3 linked regions of the Xenopus tropicalis genome follow. The protein of the gene in region 1 interacts with the protein of each later gene in a pairwise test. Links are inferred from orthologs where the notes say so. Each region holds a gene or a part of one and is shown in the gene's direction. Other genes may lie near its edges.

Region 1 (6,979 bases):
TGGAACATCGCTGCTCTCATAGGCTCTGCAGGTGTTGGGAGATCAGTAACTGGGGCCCTAGGGATAGAGATTAAGGGGGGATTTATTATACTGTGTAAAAAAATGGCAAAAAAATGGCAACATGGCCAAGCTTTATCATGTAAACAAAGGTGTAATTTTTTTAGGTGTTTTTTCTTCTGCCGGAACTTCCGTAAAATAATGGTGTAAAACTTGGCGTTTGGAATAATCCATTTATTTTACACAGCTTTTTGCACCGATTTTTGGGCGAATTAATCTTACACAGCATAATAAATAGGCAGTGAGAGGGAGAGTAATTGTGGCATAGTATGTATGATTGCAGGGTTGCACTGGGGGGTGCAGGGCCCACCGGGGGTCCCACCCTGGGGCCCTCACACCCCTCAGGGGCCACCTGCTTAAACCCCCCCCCGAGTAAAATATAGGTACATCTACCTTGGAGTTTTCTCACCAAGAGGTTGTCGGCTTGCCAAGAATACGCTACGTGTGGCATTGGCTTTAGGCAGGACATTCAAGGGAATGGGCTGTTTTGGCTATTCAGTTATTTTCTATAGAATTCAATAACAACAAGGTCCCACAGGCTCATAAAGAACTTTTGCTATGGTTGTCGACCGAGAATGTCTCCGCAGGGGCAACCAGCATGGCATCCCCCAGTCACATACAAATGCAAATAAGGAAGAAAGGGAATGCTGTGGGCACACTATAAGCTCTATGGCCATTCTTTACTCAAAAAGGAGATAATCCCCATTTTCCCTTTATGCTCTTGCAGCTTCCCTGCTCAGGTCCCTTAGTGACACAACCAAGCGGAACAGACCACCCCCTCTGATAGGGGGCACTAATGGATAAGACCAGGCACATCCCTGCAGCTCATATGGCTTTGGCACATAGTGATGTTGGGCATTCTCCCTGGCACTGGGTGGGAAAGTGTCGCCCCGAGACAGACTCCATGCTTTCTCTTGCCTCGAAGCACACATGGGAAAGGCTCACCCAGTGGCACAGGCAGAAGTTATGGGTATGGGTAAATTCATTTAAGGCCCCCTATGCTTTGGGAATAATACATCTGGCATAGACATTTATTAAATCTGCTTATCAGTCAGTGCCCCACTGAGCCCCTATATGGCTTCTGGGTCCCTGAGCACTTGCAGGGTCTGTTCCCTCTATACTTACACCTTTATGGCACATACTTGGGCACTGCTTAAGGTCCCCATACACAGGCCGATTGTAGCTTCTGATATAGGTCCCTTAGAACCGATTCAGCAGCTTATCGGCCTGTGTAGGGGCACAAACGACAGGCCTACCCGACCAACATCTGGCCTGAAATCGGCCAGATATCGATAGGGCAGTGTCATGCGTGTTCTTGACAGGCAGGTTAAAAAATTTGGCCTGAATTCACCCAATATTGCCCACCCGTAGGTGGGGATATCGGGAGAAGATCCGCTCGCTTGGCGACCTTGCCAGGCGAGTGGATCTTTACGTGTATGGCCACCTTTAGCCATAGACCAGGCCAATTTTTTTGTGTGTGACTCCTTGTAGCTGCAACAAGTTCCCCATAATGAATCCAGAGCAGAAAGGGTTAAATGCCCAAACAATACACAAAAAGTGGAAGTGGGGTGAGTGCAGCTGGTTAGCAGGAAGCCTGGGGGGGGGGGGCCCATGGGCAGCTGCACAGCCAGGAGATCCCTTTGTTCCTCCTGCACTCACTCTCCTCCTTGTTTGTTCTCTGTGTTGCTGCCGCTGAACTATCCCAGCCAAGAGGGGAGGAGAGCACAAACTTGTTCACTTTGATGTGTGTGTTTGTGTGTGTGCGTATGTATGTGTGTGTGTGTGTGTGGGGGGGGTTGTGGAACCCTCCTCTCTGCAGTGGCAGAGTCTGTTTGAAGGGGAGGGGGGACTCAGCTGATAGCTGGCTGTCAGGGCACCCCACAAACATGAGCATGGGTGGGGCACTGGCACTAAGTACACTGCACAGCAACTCCCAGCATCCCCTGAGAGCCTTCAGCTGTTGCCAAATGCTAATATACCAGATGGAGCAGAGATCTGAAGGCAAGGTGTGGTTCCACTCTGGGGTACAAACCTTCCCCTTTAAACTAAAGGAGAGCAGATCCCAGTCTAATTAGCAAATCATTTAGACAGTTAATGGCATGGCTGTGCAGGCAGAAGTGTAGCCTGCAGCATGCATCAAAATGAATTGCTGGTTTCTGAGGCAGGTTGTGGAGTCCCAATGTGCCCCAGGGGTTAGCTGCCACCTGGTGACTGGGCACCATAACAATAAGTTGGCATTGCTGCACTGGCTGCCCCATGTCCTGGGCACCATCATGCACCGCGTTAGCAGTGAGCCATTGCTTAGGCAGCATGTAGAGCCCACCATTGTAGCGCCCCCAGGCAGCAGGGCTGTAATGCGCGGAAGCTACCAACCTGCTGCTGTTGCCGGGGGGCCGCTCAGTTGTGACTCATGAGCGCTACAGCTGCGGCGTGGGCTTTGATCGCTCGGTGCAGTGACGCAGTATGACCGGCAGGGGGAGCGCTTGGATACACACAGCTGATTCCCGGCCCTGCAGGCACATTCGGGCACTGGCTGCAGCCCGGTAGGATCGAAGGGCCGGTAGCTTCCAGATGTGAGCGGCACCGGGTGGGATTCTGGGTTACCTAGGTTACCTTGGCCCGGGCTGTGCCATCCACACAGGAGGGGGGACTGGTTATCCGGTGAGACAGAAGTTTTCTGGGTCAAACCACTGCAGCGATGTCGTTCAGCCCCTGGCAAGTGCTGTCACCGGTGCAGTGGGCAAAGTGGACCTGGTCCGCGGTACGGGGAGGCGGAGGGGGGCCGGAGGGAGAGGAGGACCCGTCCCAGGAGTCTGGGTGAGTGCAATGGGCAGTGCCAGGGTGGGTGCCCAGTTACTGACTGGCTATGGAGCTAGCGCTGCGCATCTCAATCAGCTGATACATAACCGCCTGGTGCTGCATAGGGCTAACAGGGGCTTCTGGGAACTGTAGTTATACAGTAGTACTAAGCCACAGGTGGATCTCTTATTATGCCTTCATTTTCAGCCATCATGCTGCAATGTATAGTCATATATCTCTATATAATGGTGATAAACAGGCTGGGCTGTATAGTAATACTGACCAGGCTGCTCTGTATAATGATGCTGAGTATCTCTATACGCTGATAATGACCAGGCTGCTCTGTATAATGATGCTGAGTATCTCTATACGCTGATAATGACCAGGCTGCTCTGTATAATGATGCTGAGTATCTCTATACACTGATAATGACCAGGCTGCTCTGTATAATGATGATGAGTATCTCTATATGCTGATAATGACCAGGCTGCTCTGTATAATGATGCTGAGTATCTCTATACGCTGATAATGACCAGGCTGCTCTGTATAATGATCTGAGTATCTCTATACACTGATAATGACCAGGCTGCTCTGTATAATGATGCTGAGTATCTCTATACGCTGATAATGACCAAGCTGTGCTGTATAATGATGCTGAGTATCTCTATACACTGATAATGACCAGGCTGCTTTGTATAATTATGCTGAGTATCTCTATACGCTGATAATGACCAGGCTACTCTGTATAATGATGCTGAGTATCTCTATACGCTGATAATGACCAGGCTGCTCTGTATAATGATGCTGAGTATCTCTATACACTGATAATGACCAGGCTGTGCTGTATAATGATGCTGAGTATCTCTATACACTGATAATGACCAGGCTGCTCTGTATAATGATGCTGAGTATCTCTATACACTGATAATGACCAGGCTGCTCTGTATAATGATGCTGAGTATCTCTATACACTGATAATGACCAGGCTACTCTGTATAATGATGCTGAGTATCTCTATACGCTGATAATGACCAGGCTACTCTGTATAATGATGCTGAGTATCTCTATACGCTGATAATGACCAGGCTGCTCTGTATAATGATGCTGAGTATCTCTATACGCTGATAATGACCAGGCTGCTCTGTATAGTGGTGCCAAGTCTCTACACTCAGCACTGAATGACACATGCTGTACAGGCAGCAGGAAATGTCGCTGGCAGCTAACGCCTCATTGGGGAGTAACAACAGTCAGTGCAGTTGTGGGTTTCACTTCCTAAACAAATAACATCCCTTTTACATTACCTGATTCGCCAGAAACACATGGCCCCTCCCCACTGAGAACTTTGATTGTCAGCACTGTGGAAATATCGGCATCTTAAAAGTGTCAGATGAAAGGGCTGATTTACAGGTGCTAAATTGCACCAGAGCAGTTGCCCATAGCAACCAATCTGATACTTGCTTTCCTTTATCCAACATGTAAAAGACATTTTCAAGCTGATTGGATGCACTTGGTTAGTAAATGAATAATGGTAGATGGTGCAGTAACTGGAGCTGATGTGGAGTTACCGGATCAATTGAAAATTCAGTGACCTGTCTAATACATTCATGTTTTATGGCTGCTCTGATTGCATTTAAATTATATTTTAATAAGTGCAACCCTGCTAGCTGGATTTTCTAGATGTGCCACATGATCCAGTAACCCTATCAGTGCCTGCCATAGGCTTAGCAGTGACCTGCCTGGACATGAGTTATGGGGGGCTCAATATAAACCCCATGCAGTTCTTTGATGCCACAGGATCACTTGTCAGTGGCGAGGGCAAAGGGCAGATGGATGGGATAGAGGCAGAGGTGGTGGGGGCAAGAAGGCTGGGCCCCAATTGCAGTAGAAATTATTGTAATCCAAGGGTATTGGACTTGTATCTTATATTAATACATACAGTCAGGTTTAAGGCTGTCAGAATCCCGTCCATTCTGTTCTGCGTCTCAGACATTCCTTGGCTCAGCCTATGCCAGTTGGTACCCAGTCCTTCCTCTACTACTAACCAGTTTCTGGCTCAGCCCCTGCTTCCCAGCAGGGCCACCATCAGGGTGGGAAAGGGGGTACAATTGTGTGGGGGCCTGGTCACAGTGCGCAAGTTACGTATAAAGTTACATCAAAACTTGCATAATTACTGCAAAAACGTAAAGTTACGCCAAAACTTGTGTAACTTTGGCAAAGACTGCCAAGAAACTTGCCCTGAAACCTAACCTGTGTATCAAATGAAAGACAATGCAGAGAAGCTGCACTGACCCCCAGTTAATTAACAACATAAAGTAAATTTCACTGCCCCCAATGTACTGACTGAATGAATCTGTCCTGTTTCGCTTCACCAAAAAAATTTGCAAACCTTTCAAAAGTTTCCCAAAACGGCAAAAATGTTGGGCTTCAAAAAAAATTGTGTGTTCCTGCGGGGCCCTATATAAATAACTTGCGCTGGGTCCCAAAGTTTCTGATGGTGGCCCTGCTAGCCAGTGCCTGGTCCATCCTGTGCTATTCAGTCCCTGGCCCAACCTGTGCCTGTTGGTACCCAATCTGGACCAGTGGAGTGGAAGATATATGGTATATGAGGGCCTGGGTAGAGGAATAAGTCGTGAATAAACGGTGACTGTGGGCCTAGGGCATATGCCGTTTGACTACTGTGAGCCTCTCATGGAGACTTACTGTGCTTACATTCCCAACGGATTCCCTTTCACATGTAGTCAGACCCATTGCCAGTGGCAGATATTGGCACTATCAGGTAGGGAAGAGCAAAGTGGGTGGCCCCCACCCATGGAGCCAAATAAAATCCAGTGCCACCCTCTGTGCATATGTGCATCACTAGCAAGGGGCACTTGCCCAGGTGAATATACGGGCCTACAGCTAATAGTAACTGTTGGTAAATAAATGTAAATCGAACTTTCCCTTTAAAGTCAGCCTTCTTTCTAACACAGTGCCTTTTTAATAAGCTAATAAGAATAATGGTATTAAGGTATATTTCTTAGGGGCATATAAATCGCCTTTCCATCACTTTCTGTATAGCCATTCTGTAAGTGGCTCCTGGCTTCCCCCTGTAAGGCTAATTTATTACACAACAAGGCAGTGCTTGGGCAGAACTTCCAGTTCCTCCTCAGCCAGCTAACAACAGCACAGGGATGCCAAATATTTCACTTCTGCATAAAAACATAAGATAAATATTTATGAGGGTTAGGATTAAGCTTCTCACGGAGGAGGAGGAATGCGCACTGTAGCCCCAGTCTCACTAATAACGATTCCAATATCTCGTATCTCAGTGCAGGTAAGGCATGCCTTTGTATTGGCATGCGCAAAGCATTCTGGGTCAGGCATATTGTCGGTAGATAGGGCCACACTGCCTTCAGATAAGACCACATTGGGCTCTGACATTAGGGATTCCCAAGTATTCTTTGAGCTGATTAAAGTTAGGCAGATGTGCAGTTTAGTAAATTTGCCATATGCCCCACCCAAAGCAGCTGAAGGGGTACCTGGGAGGAAAACAAAACATTGCGGCATGTTGCTCTGCAATTTTTGCACCAACTGAGGGAGAGAAGGTTATTGAGTTTGTTCACTGGGGGTCCCAACAAATTGCCCCCATGGCTTCCATATTTTGATCATTTTAAAGGGCTAAGAATCCAGAAATGCTATATCTAATAGGTCTTATATAGGATATTTAACCACTGTGGTCTTAATTCTCTGTTATACCAGATATCTAGCATGTCAGCCATAAAGCAAGGCTGACCTGTTGCTTTGCAAGAGACAAGAAGAAGACTAAACCATTACATAGGGAAATACAATGCATGATATAGTTATATAGTGATACCGTGTCCAGCAGTGCTTCACAGAGTAGGGGGGACACAAACACAGAGTTAACATATACAAACAATGAGATTGTACAGTGTGTTAAACTACACAAAGGGGGAGGAGCTTGCTCAAAAGAGCAAACAGTCTGAGAAGGAAGGGGAGTGACCTGTTTGTCTAGATGTTAGCCCATTATACCAGTGATTAGGGGGTGTGGGAGAAGAGATTTATAAATGGCGGGTAAGTTGATGAGGGATTAAGTTGGAAACTTGAATAAAGGGGTGGGTTGTAA
Region 2 (6,797 bases), on another chromosome or scaffold:
GGAAAGCATTCTAGACCTCTCCAAATACATAGACAAGGCAATTCGAGTAAAGTTTCAGGGTGGAAGAGAAGGTATGCTTTCTAAATGTGAATTTCTAAAGAATTCTACTTTGCCATGCATTCTTAAAACAATTATTACTACAAAGTACTGCTACTAAAGCTTTGCCATACGTTATAAGATTCACTTGTTTGACAAGGTCGCTGAATGAGTGTGTCTTTCACTGATATGGACCTTAAGGTGGGCAAAATTGGGCTGATTGTATCAAAATTGTCTCTATGCAGGCAAGTAACTAGGACTACAGCAATCACAGATGTAGTCCTTGATTCAACAGGAAAATCAAACCTGCAATCTACATTTTGTCTGTATACAGTATGCTACAGTATGCAAGACGTGGCAGTTATGCTGTAGCTTAAGTACTTGAATTACTTCCAGAATAGTTGCTGTGTGCTACAATTTCAGAGATAAGTTAGTAACTTAGGTTGGAACATATTCAGAACATATTCAACCTTTTATGTCTAAATGAAACCTTTCTAACTGCTAATTGCTCCAGTTTTGTAAATTCCCACTATTGTTATCAGATCACATGAAAAATATGCACATTTTTAATAAATCCAAATTGTTAGGGCTGTTTATTTGCAAAGTGATTGCATTTTAATTAATGCAGCTGGATGTTCCTGACTTGTCTCTGATTTTTCAACTTTAGGTCTTCTAAGGTAAAGACCTACATTTTTTCATCTGTGCATTTCTTTGCAGCAAAAGATACTATCCTTTATTTTGTGCAATAGAAAATGGAGAGAGGTGCTGCAGGGGTTGCTTCCTCCTTAGGCAGCAGGGCTGATGTTCCTTCCCCAACCACCCTCACTCTTTTTACTTTTGTGCATTGCTTCCCCTGGTAGCCTGCCATACACTGCCATTGGTTGGCAAGTTTCTCACATATTAGGCACCCACTCCTAGTAAGTATAATTACTAACTTTCAAACCCAAGCCAGTGCTCCTCCAGCCTGGAGTACATTCCCTGTAAGTGCCGCCATCTTTTATCAGTCTTCCAGGATTTTTTAAAACCCTGCTTCATCTTCAGTAAACCTTCATCTAAATAAATGGTACAATCCAAAAGTTACGAAATTTTCGTATCCGAACGAAACAATCCGGCGCAAAAAACTTTCTGACTTTGAACCTTCAATGCATGATTTTGGAAGCCTCCCACAGGACTCAATGGCACTCTGCAGCTTGAATGAATTTCAAAACTTTTGTAGTCGTTGCGATAATTTCGATTTTGTCTCACAAATTTATTCAAAGCACAAAAAAGTTGCGGAAATTAACAAAAATATTGTGGAAAATACACAAAGTTCTATAAATTAGAAAAAATACAAATTTTTTGTAATCGTACCCATTCAGACTTTGATAAATCTGCCCCAGTGTGTTCACATACTTTTTTTGTGTGCGCCACAATTTGTTGTGTGTGTAGGGCTTAAAATGTATGTGTGGATCCTCCTCCAGCTCTAGGTAATTTTAATAAACCAAGTGCATTTTTCATTTTAAATATTTTTATTCAAATAAAAAATCTTAATGTATAGCCAATGCATAGGGAAATGTAAAGGGAGTGATTCTTATTTTAAGGGGAACACCTTTTATTCTGGTTCTCAAAATTATTGTCCAGCAGTGCTAGCAGGAACTTTGTATATAAATAAAATAGAGCAATTGAGTAAGTAGAATGAAGGATCCAGCCAATTTAATGCAGTTGCCTAATTTGCTGCCACTAAAATTGTTTACAACATTTGTGGAGGAAGTAGTGCTAGGTAAGGCTGACATAACTGAGTTCATTCTAGTGTAAGACTGTGGAAGCAGTTTGAAAAGCATCTTTTTGGAATTCATAAACTACTTTTGCAATATCTGTAAAGTCTTTAGTAGGTTTCAACCATACAAGATGTTAAATCTCGCCCTGTAATACACCAGCTAAAATGACATTTTCCTGAGAATCATCTTCCATTTTAACGGATATAGGCAAAGCTGAAAACATTTACATAAGCTTGGGGTGCAGAACTATTTGGGCTTCTCTTTTTAAATACTTTTTTCCCCTTGTTTTTATTCTTCACCTGATTAAAGCAAGCGGAGTACTGAAAGGATTTGATCCACTGCTGAATCTTGTACTGGATGGCACAATAGAATATATGAGAGGTAAGTACTAAAAATTCATAAAGCTTTCATATACATAGGATGCACTTCAAATTTGTATGCATTGTTTTGCTATTTGACTGGAGGCGGCACATGGAATAATTGTGTTGGGTTGAAAACCCCAACATACTGTTCTTCGACTTTGGCTTATTCTTCCACTTCTTCTTCTTTTTAGCGCCCCCCATTTTCTAAACGCTACTCCTCTTACAGTTTTAGGGGTACAACAACCAAACTCTCCACACTTCTTCGCCCTATAGCAGAGCAGGTTGCTTGTGCTTTTTTTATGCGTTCCCGCCCCCCGTCTTTTTGTGGCGCCCCTCCGAACACCCCAATGATTGCTGAATGCCCAAAAGTGGGCGGAGCTGTGAACAGCCAATCAGATTTTACCTATTGACTTGGTGGAAATTCAACCTTGCTGTTCAGAAAAAAAGTGGGCGGAGCCACCAACAGCCAATAACATTTCACCTATTTACTTTCAACTGTGAAGTGTAAAATGCTGTCAGTCTCACAATTTTTATGCCAGAGTCCCCAAAATTTGCAAAGTTGGTCACTGGGGGACTGCAGTTTAAAAATAGGAAAAGTGGGTTGGGCCACTAACGGCCAATCAGATTTCATCCTTTGAGTTTTATTGGTTTAAATTTAAAATGCTGTCATTCTCACACTATTTATGCCACAGTGCCCACTCTTTGTCACTGAGTGACTTCGACTCAAGGTTAGAAAAAGGGGGCGGGGTCACCAACCACCAATCACAATTCACCTATTGACTTTTATTGGTTTAAACTTTAACTGCTGCCGTTCTTTAACTATTAATCCTAAACTAAACTTTGCAGAGTTAGTCACTGGGTAGCTGCAGTTCCAGGTTAGAAAAAGGGGGTGGAGCCACCAACCGCCAATCAGATGTCACTCGTTGACTTTCAGTGGGGAAATTTAAGTTGCTGCCATTCAGACACTATTAAGCCAGGGTCCCCAAACTTTGCACAGTGGTTTTTATTGTATAACTGTGATCCAAGGTTAGAGAAAGTGGGCAGAGCCCATTCAGTGACTTCATGTTTTTCAACCCAACATGAAGTTTGTTCTCAAACTTCCCTTTCTAGTTTAGTCTTTTAATTTAAAATGTGCTGACATGAAACAATATGTCAAAATATGCATATTAAAGGAAATCTATTCTGCAAAACACCGTAGGTCTCTCTAAAATATGTTGCATGAAACCTGCCATTTTAAAAATGAAGGGCCGCCTCTTGGGATCATAGGATTCATGTTGCACACATACCAAAGCACACGTGCATACTAGGTTACATTAGCCAATCAATGGACAGAACTGTGACTTCTTCATGTTTCAGATAGAGCTGCATTATTTCTGTTCATGTAATCTCTATGGGAGCCCACAGCCCATCACAAAATTGTGGCTCAAGGTAAAAGTGACCTATTAAAGAATCTTGCTAAACTAGAATATGCCCTAACTGATATAAACTGTTTAAGTATTTATTTTGTGGGTATGGTTTTCCATTTAAATCATAGCCTAAACTTGACCTTTCCAATTATTTTTTTAAATTTTACCCCACCACTCCTTCCATCTATGGATTGTGGGTGTTCTGTTACTGCATAATTCAGTCTTTATAATTGGAACAGGTAAGGGATTTCTTGTCGAATAATTAAAGGCTTCAAGTGGCAAAACAATCCTATTTTGTTTATTTTGTGTTTCAATTTTTTTTGGCAGACTTAAGGTATAATAGATCCAATACCTGTAGTATTTAATATAGTAAATTAGGTTAAAAAGACACCAGTCCATCAAGTTTAACTTTATATGCCTATATGTAACCTGCCTAACTGCTAGTTGATCCAGAGGAAAGCAAAATAAACCTTTTGAAGCTTTTCATTTGCTGCGGAGGGGGAAAAAATCCTTCCTGGTTCCAAGAAGGCAATCAGACCATTGTATTCCCTTACTTGCTAAAATGCCAACCAACCCCTTCTTGAAGCTATCTCTCAGTCAGTGCGACTAATTCAGGGAGTGAATTACACAACTTCACAGCTCTCGGTTAAAGAACAAAAAAAACCCTTTCAGAGTATCTAGACGGAACCTACTTTTTTCTAATTGGAATGGGTGCCCTTGTGTTAGTTGGAAGAACCTACTGGTGAATAAAACGTTCGAGAGATTATATGACCCCTGAAGTGCCTATTTTCCAGGGTAAACCATCCCAACCTGGCTAGTCTTCATAACTACGTCTATCCATATCCTTTACCAGCTACGTTGCCCTTCTCTGGGTCCTCTCTAACATAATAATGTCCCATTTGAGCAATGGAGACCAAAACTTCTATTAGGGCCTTACCAGCGCTTTGTAAAGCAGAAGAATAACCCCTTCCTCTCACAATTCTATGTCCCTTTTAATACAGCTCAAAACCTTGTTTGCCCTTGCTTGCCACAGCCAAGTTATTACCTACAAGGACTTAAAGGTCCTTTTCCATTATGGATTTGTGTAGTGCAATTCAATTAATGCATATTTTTGCATCCCAGGTGCAGGACTTTGAATTTATCAACATTGAATCTCTCTGCCACTGAGCCCCCCAGTTTGTCACAATCCTGCTGCAAGGATCCTGGATAGAATTAATTGGGCTGCAGAATTTTGTGTCATCTGCAAACACTGATACATCACTTATAATACCTTCTCCTAAGTCATTAATGAACAAGTTAAATAATAGTGGACCCAACACAGAACCCTGTGGGACCACACTAAGAACCTTACTCCAAGTAGAGAATGTACCATTAACAGCCACCCTCTGTACCTGTTCAGAAAGCCATTATGGTTAAAGTATATAACGTTTATTTTACATTTTCGGCTTGTTAATTTGCTGTACCTTGTATGTTTTAGAAATGGTTTAAGTTGAAGTTTTTAGAACTTTTGTGAATTGTCACTTGTTCTATTAAAACATGTCTTTTTCTCTTTAGATCCAGATGACCAGTATAAATTAACAGAGGACACACGGCAGCTGGGGCTGGTAGTCTGCAGAGGAACATCTGTAGTGCTGATTTGTCCACAGGATGGCATGGAGGCAATCCCAAACCCTTTTGTTCAACAACAAGAGGGTTAATGAACAATATTAAATTTCTTCTCCCATATTTCTTTGTTAGAAAGAATAACTTCAAGTTGAAGATTGTGGAGTACTGAATTTGTTTTGTTTATTTTATATAGAACATTTTTTTTTTTTTTTTTTTTAAAGGCAGAGAGATGCTATTTTAGCAGAGCCAGCGTATTCCATATATTTCAAATATACTGATTATTTCATTGGAACCTTTTCTGTGTGTATTTCTATTATTTTTTATGTGAGCAACCATGAAGACTTCAGATGAAGTTCTACAAAGTGGTGAATCTCCAGCGGATAGTTTTGCACCGCTTACCTGGCAATTCATTTTTTGCAACAGTCACTGTGCCATTTGTTTTAGAGTGCTTTTGTTTATTGCAATGTTTTTTTGCTAGCCCTGTATGTTATAACCTTTTTAACCCCTTTTATGAAAAATCTTCAGTACGTGAGCAGGGGTTCAATATATGGGGCTCAAACCACTCGCATATATTGTGTAGGTCAACAAATTTATTCCACCTCTTTTAATAATTGTAGGGGCATTTTTTATGATTGCTCAAGCCTTTCAGCTCAAGCAATCATAAAGGGTGCAAACACACAAAGCTACTTAGTTGCATCTACTTGTCACAGCTACTAAACACCAGAAAATACCCTGCCATAGACAATACTGAGAACTGCCTCTGCTAAAACACACATAGAGACAGTTCTCAGTAAATGATCAGCATTGTTTTATTTTGGTGGCCGTGACAAGTAGCTGCTACTAGTGTGTTTAGCCGCTTAATGGGATCACTTGTAGTAAAGGCTGCAAATGGACTGTAGTAACAGTACTGCCATTACATTTTACGAAAGCCAATTGTAATATAGGAACTATTTCCTGGTTAAGTTAATTTGGACCAATTTAGATTCCTCCAGGCCTGATTTTAAGGCCTGGTGGTTTTCAGTTTTCTTGATGCTTATAATTTTCTTTCTCCCTAAGGAGGTATTTGGCTATGTCAGTAGCTCCTTTGGACACTTTGTTGCCTATAGCGATTTCATTAATCAAAGCTCCACAGGCTTACAGGCTTCCCAGAGTGTTTTGGGGGGATGCTGTTTTGTAACTAGTGGCCCAATAATTAGCATATTCCTTCTGCATGCAATTTCAGACTTATGAAATACATTAATTTGGTCGCCCCTTGAGCCAGTTTGAATAGACAATTTGAATAGAGTTAAACACCATATCTATATGAGGGATGGATACAGTGTTTACTTTTGTCTGGATGGTTTCACCTTCTCAATCCAAACTAAGGCTAAGAGACTTAGGTTATGACCATTTGTATGACATCCTGCCCAACAAGGAGACCCGTCTAGCTTGATAGGTATGGGTGACTCAGTACCTTAAATTTTAAATTAATGCCCCAGATGGTGTTCCAGAAGATAATTGCTATGGTTTGCATGTTATAAGGTTAGGGATATAAATAGGCCTCTTAAGATATTGGACCATTCGTCTAAGCATTGCCTGGCAGGGCTATTCCTTGAAGTTCAATGGGGCGAGTGACCCTCCTAACAGTTTTC
Region 3 (6,224 bases), on another chromosome or scaffold:
GTACATGGCAAAAATAATGACTTGCAAAGATGCAGATTGGATTTGATCCCTCCTAGATAAGAATACAAAGGAGATGTGTTTAGGAGAAGAGAATTGGGTGTGTCAGTGCTAACTATCCGTCAGCTACTTCATTTGCTCTAACCTGTTGTCTTTGAAAAACAATCATGTTCTTACTATAGAACCCTGTGTATAGACAGGTATTCATATACGTATGTATGTAAATATATAGAGGTAGATAGAAATATAGACAGGTATTCAAACCTGCCCAGAAATAACACGGCAGCACAGGTGGCTTTGCCAAAATTACCCACCCACATACTGATCGACTTGTGTTTTTCTACTTGTCGGAGAATACGAACTGTTAGTAATTATTATTATCTTTTATACAGCACTGTATATGCGGCAGAGAGATTATTTATCACTTTGATGAGTCCCTGCTCCTGCAACGCTTACAGTCACATTTCTCTATGACATTCAGGCACACACTAGGCCATTTTCATCTGGAGCAATCAGACACGGGCATGACATACAAACTCCATGCATATGTTCCTGGTCAGAACAAAAAAAAAGAAATCCAAACCATTGGGAAAAAAAGCTATAATTTAAAGGGGCATTATATATAGTCTTCTTATTTTTTTTTTTTATTTTTTTTTTAATTTTACCAGGTGCACCAGTGAAGGAGGACTATGAGACTGCTATGTGCTGCTGTTAAGCTGCCTCATTTGCCAGTATTGCAAATATGGGTGATGGACCAAGGAAAGATATCTTGCCTGCCAGTGACAAATCATCTGAAATATCTTAGCATTGGTGTCAGTGTGAATCATCAGTGGTAAAACATATAAATTGTGCATCCACTGAAAATGACCTTTTCCAGCAGTTACCCGATTCATAAGTTTTGCCGCTGGGGATTCGCACTGACACCAATGCTAAGGTATCTTCAAGTTCTTGCAGGTGACAAATCTACTTTTACCCAAATATATTTATGGGCAGTATTATGAATTTATGATGTCTATGTTTTGCATAGTAACACACTATACATTATAAATTACCAGCCCGAGCATAGTATTTTAACATTATAGGGCTTAATTATGGTCGCAAGGTGCTGAGCTGGGATCAGCACTGCGACAGTCAAAATGCTATTCAGCAAAATACTTGCACTTCCTTGTACTACTTCACTGTGTACCAATATGCCAGTTGCACCTGAATTAAAGAATAGGGTACAAAGGATCTGTTTTCCAGAAATATCCAAATTGCAGAAAGGCCATCTCCCAAAGACTCCATTATAAGCAAATAATTCTAATTTTAAAAATGATTGCCTTTTTCTCTAATAATAAAACAGTAATTTATACTTGATCGTATGTAAATTGCATGAATCCAACTTGTTTTTTAGCGTTTACATCTTGCACATGCACACTCCTGTTTGCAGTCAACAATATATGTTTACCAGTGAATTGATTGCAGTTTTTGGTTCAGTAAGGCTAATGCCACACCGAGCGTATGGCGTATATTTTCAGCAAGCGGAAAAACACTTGCCGAAAATATCGCCATCCGCACAATATGTCCCCTACCTGTGCCTGCACCGGAATGAATGAGATACGCTGGGGTGCAGGTATATGTAGCCGTTATCCGCATAAAAACGCAAGACTTTGCATTCTCTCGCGTTTTTATGTGTATTTCGGCTACATGTGCCTGCACCCCAGCGTATCTCATTAATTCGGGTGCAGACACAGGTAGGAGGCGGATGGCGATATTTTCGGCAAGCGATGCCTCATCTGAAATTAGCCTAATGTTTAAATGTCCACTCTACATTCAGTTTGACCAGCATAATTGTGCTTAATACAGGGGAATACATATTATCTTATATATTAAGGGCAGTGATCCCCAACCAGTGGCTTAGAAGCAACATGTTGCTCACCAAATGTTGCTCCCAGTGGCCTCAAAGCATTTTTGAATTTCTGACTTGGAGGCATAAAGACTATGGGGCCTATATATTATGTTTAGTTAAAAGATGGCACCAAAATTTGCCATACATTGCCAGGCTTCGCCACACGAAAAACAGTGTTATTTTATGATTACTTTAAAAGTACACTTGAATGCAGTGCACCTTGAACACACATTTCAAGTGCAAAAAAATCACCAGCCATATGTAGCCTTGCGGTTTGGTGTTCAGTGGTGTATTAGGTTGGTAAATTTTGCATATACAGGTATGGGACCTGGGGTTTTCCAGATAAGGGATCTTTCTGTAATTTGGATCTCCGTTACTTAAGTCTGCTAAAAATTATTTAAAAATTGAATAAACCCAAGAGGCTTGTTTTGCCTCCAATAAGGATTTATTATATCTTAGTTGGGATCAAGTACAAGGTACTGTTTTATTAGTACAGAGAAAAAGAAAATAATTTTTAAAAATTGGAATTATTTGCTTATAATGGAGTCTATGGGCGATGGTCTTTCCGTAATTCAGAACTTTCTGGATAACGGGTTTCCGGATAAGGGATCTTATACCTGTATATATAATATGTGTGTGATGCTTTTCTTTCTCCCTTTGATCATTCACAATCCTAATTAAAAAAGATATAAAGTGTGCCTTCAGAGGTCAGAGGCACAATTTCAAGGAGGAAGAGTGTGTCCGTGAGCACCCACAGATAGTTCCTGGTGGGGAGCAAGACTGGGTTGGCAAGGATTGAGCCTACAGGGTTCACCTTTGTGCTGGATCACGACAAAGGCCAGTGCTGGCTGTTGAGACCAGATCAAAGAGCCAATGCGGTTCTTGTCCCTACAGAATTTTTTAAGCCTATACTCGGGCAAATAAGCTGCTGACTTGGCCTGAAGAGGGTCAAATCCTGTATGGTCAGCTTTAATCTGCCTATTTTCATGCAATTGTCACCTGTTAAAAGATCTCTGAAGTGTTTTTTGTTGCACTTAATGTGATCAAAAAGCTTTATATGCAGCAAAGCTAAAGAAAAAGCCTTTAGCACCAGTAGCTGAATTTAGGATAGATATTTGAAACCTTCTGCTGAAGCCATCATTATGCTCCTCTTTTGCCAACTCAGGCAGCCATTCTACAATAACATGGAAATATTTTTATCCAAGCTTAAATACTATAAATACCTGGAAAATTATTTTGATGTTTTTTTTTTATTAAGCATGAAATTTGGTAGGTTACAGTCTAGCTTTTATAAGTGCATACCAATGTAGCTTTAGTTTTAACTGCAGGGTAACCAGACATCTGGATGTCAGTCAGAAGTTGTGCATATAGCTAAATGCTATCGTTTTCAACTAAAATAATTTCAGATAAAGTAAATGAGCTCTATAACCCACTTGTGTTTTCTGGCATCATTTACCAGAAAAATTTGCTACTTAGAACTTTTGGGCATGTTTTAGCCGAACATGAGCATCATAAGTCCACACAGCTTACATAAGAAACCGATAAGGGTATTGTGAGCATATGGAACAATAGTCTGTGTAGCAGTTTATATAGTCTGGCACTTTCAGAATCCTTTATTTTTCCCAACGTTACATATTTTGTAGCTGAAGGAACCACTGTCATGGTAGTTCAGCAACTGAATGGAGTATATCTGCTTTGGTATATCTGGCAATGCCTAAATACAAACACGTATAGTTATAATAAATGTGAAAATAAATAAATATATGCTTAAGTTTAGAAGTTTTAAACATACAGTCTATTTGCTTACAATCGATTATGTTCATATAATTGTAAAGTTTAAACGGTAAGTTTACAGTTTGTGATTATGAAACCATTGGTTGAAGGTCTTTTTAGTCAACAAGTTATTCAGTGAAATAAACAACCATTTATTGGCTCAAAATTTAAACAAACAATTCAAAAAGCAAACATGCTATACCAAACAATGGAAAGGTACATCCAAGTGCCTCATGGTGCCCACTCTCCTAACGCGTTTCGCACCATTCGGTGCTTCACCAGAGGAGGTCAAGAAGGTCTTTGTATACATATGTATTGCTCCCTAATGCAATTAGTATTTGTGGAAAGCAATGAAAATGTGTATAGTAAATCTCTTGTGTATTCTTTGTCAACAATGTAAAATACATTTAGTTTTAAGGTATCCAGGATTAAGGCACATTAATAGCAATGCTTGATATTCATTGCCTTTGTAATGTTCTTTTATCTGGGGTTTTCTTGCAGGATCCCAGTTGAGTGCACAACTAGACGGCTGGCTATCACAAGCACAAACCTCAAAGAGACCTGCAAGAGCCATCATTGCCCCGTAAGTTATAACAGCTAATTATTTTCCAGTTGCCGTATTTTAAAGTCCCCTCTAACCGTTAAACGAGTAGTCCACCTTTAAATTAACTTATACTATGATGTAGACATTAATATTCTAAGGCAATTTGCATTTGATCTTCATTTTTTTTTTTTTTTTTTAAACATTTAGAATTTTTGCAGTTCTCCGGTGTTATTTTTTAGCAGCTGTCTGGTTGCTAGGGTAAGCAGTGGTTTGAATGAGGGACTGGAAAATTCAAAGGAGAGGCTTGAATAGGAAGATAAGTAATAAAAAGTACCAATAAAAGTATAATTGATCCCTCACAAAGCAATAGATATTTTGGCTGACAGGGTCAGTGACCAGTTGCACAGCTGCTAGGAATAGGACATTCTATAACATTCTAAAAAGTTTACTTTAAGGTAAACCACCCCTTTTAATGAAAACTTCTGTGATATGGCTTATATTGAGTGTTTTAATAATGCACATATTATGTCAGTTTAGTTGAATGCCACATGAGAGGGTTTCTCAGCCTTAACATTAGAATATAGAGCAGAAGTGTCTGTGTTTTATATGGACTGACTGTTCTGGTGGACAACTGGGAGCTGGAGTTCAGTCACATCTCGAGGGCCTCAGTCTGCCCATCCTGGTTTTTAAGTGAATGTGTCATTTAGCACATTTTTTTTATATGCATATCATATTTTTATTTCCAACAGTTAACCTTAATAAATGTATCTACTTGTTTTATTAATAATTCCAATTAGTTTTATATGAGTGCACGGCCCTTGCTTTTAATTCATTCGTTGTAAGTCTGTTTCACCGTATTAGATGTTTTGTGATTATTTTAAAATTAACTGCAGTAACTGATGACATTGGTCTAAAGGACAAAGAGCCAGCATATTATATTACTTTTTTTGTTTGGATATGGGTCATCATTTTGTAAATGTATTATTATTTTAAATTGCAGTCATGCAGGATACACTTATTGCGGGTCATGTGCTGCTCATGCCTATAAACAAGTAGACCCTTCAGTCACGTAAGTATATTGTATCTTAAGATAATTTAATATAATAGGTCATTGATAAACTAATACAGGTATGGTACCTGTTATCCAGAATGCATGGGACCTGGGGTTTTTCACATAAGGGGTCTTTAATTAAACCCAATAGGAATATTTTGCCTCCAGTAAGGATTAATTATATCTTAGCTGGGATCAATTACAAGGTACTGTTTTATCATTACAGAGAAAATGAAAATCATTTTTAAAAATGTGAATTATTTGATTAAAATACACTCTCTGGGAGATTGCTTTTCTGTAATTTGGAGCTTTCCGGATAACTGGTTTCCAGATAATGGATCCCATACCGAGCAATTATTTATTTGGTAGAGTCACCGTGGCACTGTGAACGCTACAGTTTAGCAACAGCCTAACAGTGATAAAATTGTCTGGATTCCCATTGCGTACACCAGCAAACCCCTTATGCCCACGATTTTCATGGTGTGCATTTTAACGCTGCTGTAATATAAGAGGTATCTACATTCATACTTTGTATAAAGAGTTACCATACAAATAAATAAAATAATATACAGCACACAGACATGTTCTAAAATAAAAGTGCTGCATCATAACCTTCACTAGAACAGGAAACACATAAAAACAAACACTAAACAAAAAGAAGCACAGCAGGTAGTATTTAGCTTTTTGGCAGATCTCGCGTTTCGCACAGCAGGAGTTCTGCACGTCTTAGACACAGAACATGGCTGGTGTGTTTTTAACTTCAAGCTAATTTTATTTTGTGTCCAATTCCATCTGTCCACAGGAAGGTTAGGTTGCCATTTTCTTCAGTTGTGTGTGTATTTTACTGCTCCATTTTTGCTGAGCAAGATACGCAGACTTGCAAGGTTAAACTGAAGTGAACTGGTAGAGAGTTTTTTCTCATTTTAATTATATAGATATATAAAGTAGTCCAGTGGGTGCACACCACATAC

What was found. The genes of interacting proteins can lie anywhere in the genome.
Region 2: the proteins of tacc1 (region 1) and lsm7 interact in binary tests that used the Homo sapiens proteins (3 or more experiments, as listed by UniProt). The link is inferred for Xenopus tropicalis from reciprocal best matches to the Homo sapiens genes TACC1 and LSM7.
Region 3: the proteins of tacc1 (region 1) and memo1 interact in binary tests that used the Homo sapiens proteins (3 or more experiments, as listed by UniProt). The two-hybrid records come from large-scale screens. The link is inferred for Xenopus tropicalis from reciprocal best matches to the Homo sapiens genes TACC1 and MEMO1.

The regions. Positions count from the first base shown.
Region 1 is NC_030679.2:132,040,660-132,047,638, reverse strand, and holds the start of tacc1 (transforming acidic coiled-coil-containing protein 1), read left to right. Parts: upstream 1-2,467; 5' UTR 2,468-2,755; coding exon 2,756-2,874; intron 2,875-6,979. UniProt on the Homo sapiens protein: Involved in transcription regulation induced by nuclear receptors, including in T3 thyroid hormone and all-trans retinoic acid pathways. Might promote the nuclear localization of the receptors.
Region 2 is NC_030677.2:92,737,390-92,744,186, reverse strand, and holds the end of lsm7 (U6 snRNA-associated Sm-like protein LSm7), read left to right. Parts: coding exon 1-71; intron 72-2,102; coding exon 2,103-2,174; intron 2,175-5,115; coding exon 5,116-5,258; 3' UTR 5,259-5,458; downstream 5,459-6,797. UniProt on the Homo sapiens protein: Plays a role in pre-mRNA splicing as component of the U4/U6-U5 tri-snRNP complex that is involved in spliceosome assembly, and as component of the precatalytic spliceosome (spliceosome B complex).
Region 3 is NC_030681.2:51,202,385-51,208,608, forward strand, and holds part of memo1 (protein MEMO1), read left to right. Parts: intron 1-4,159; coding exon 4,160-4,241; intron 4,242-5,202; coding exon 5,203-5,271; intron 5,272-6,224. UniProt on the Homo sapiens protein: May control cell migration by relaying extracellular chemotactic signals to the microtubule cytoskeleton. Mediator of ERBB2 signaling.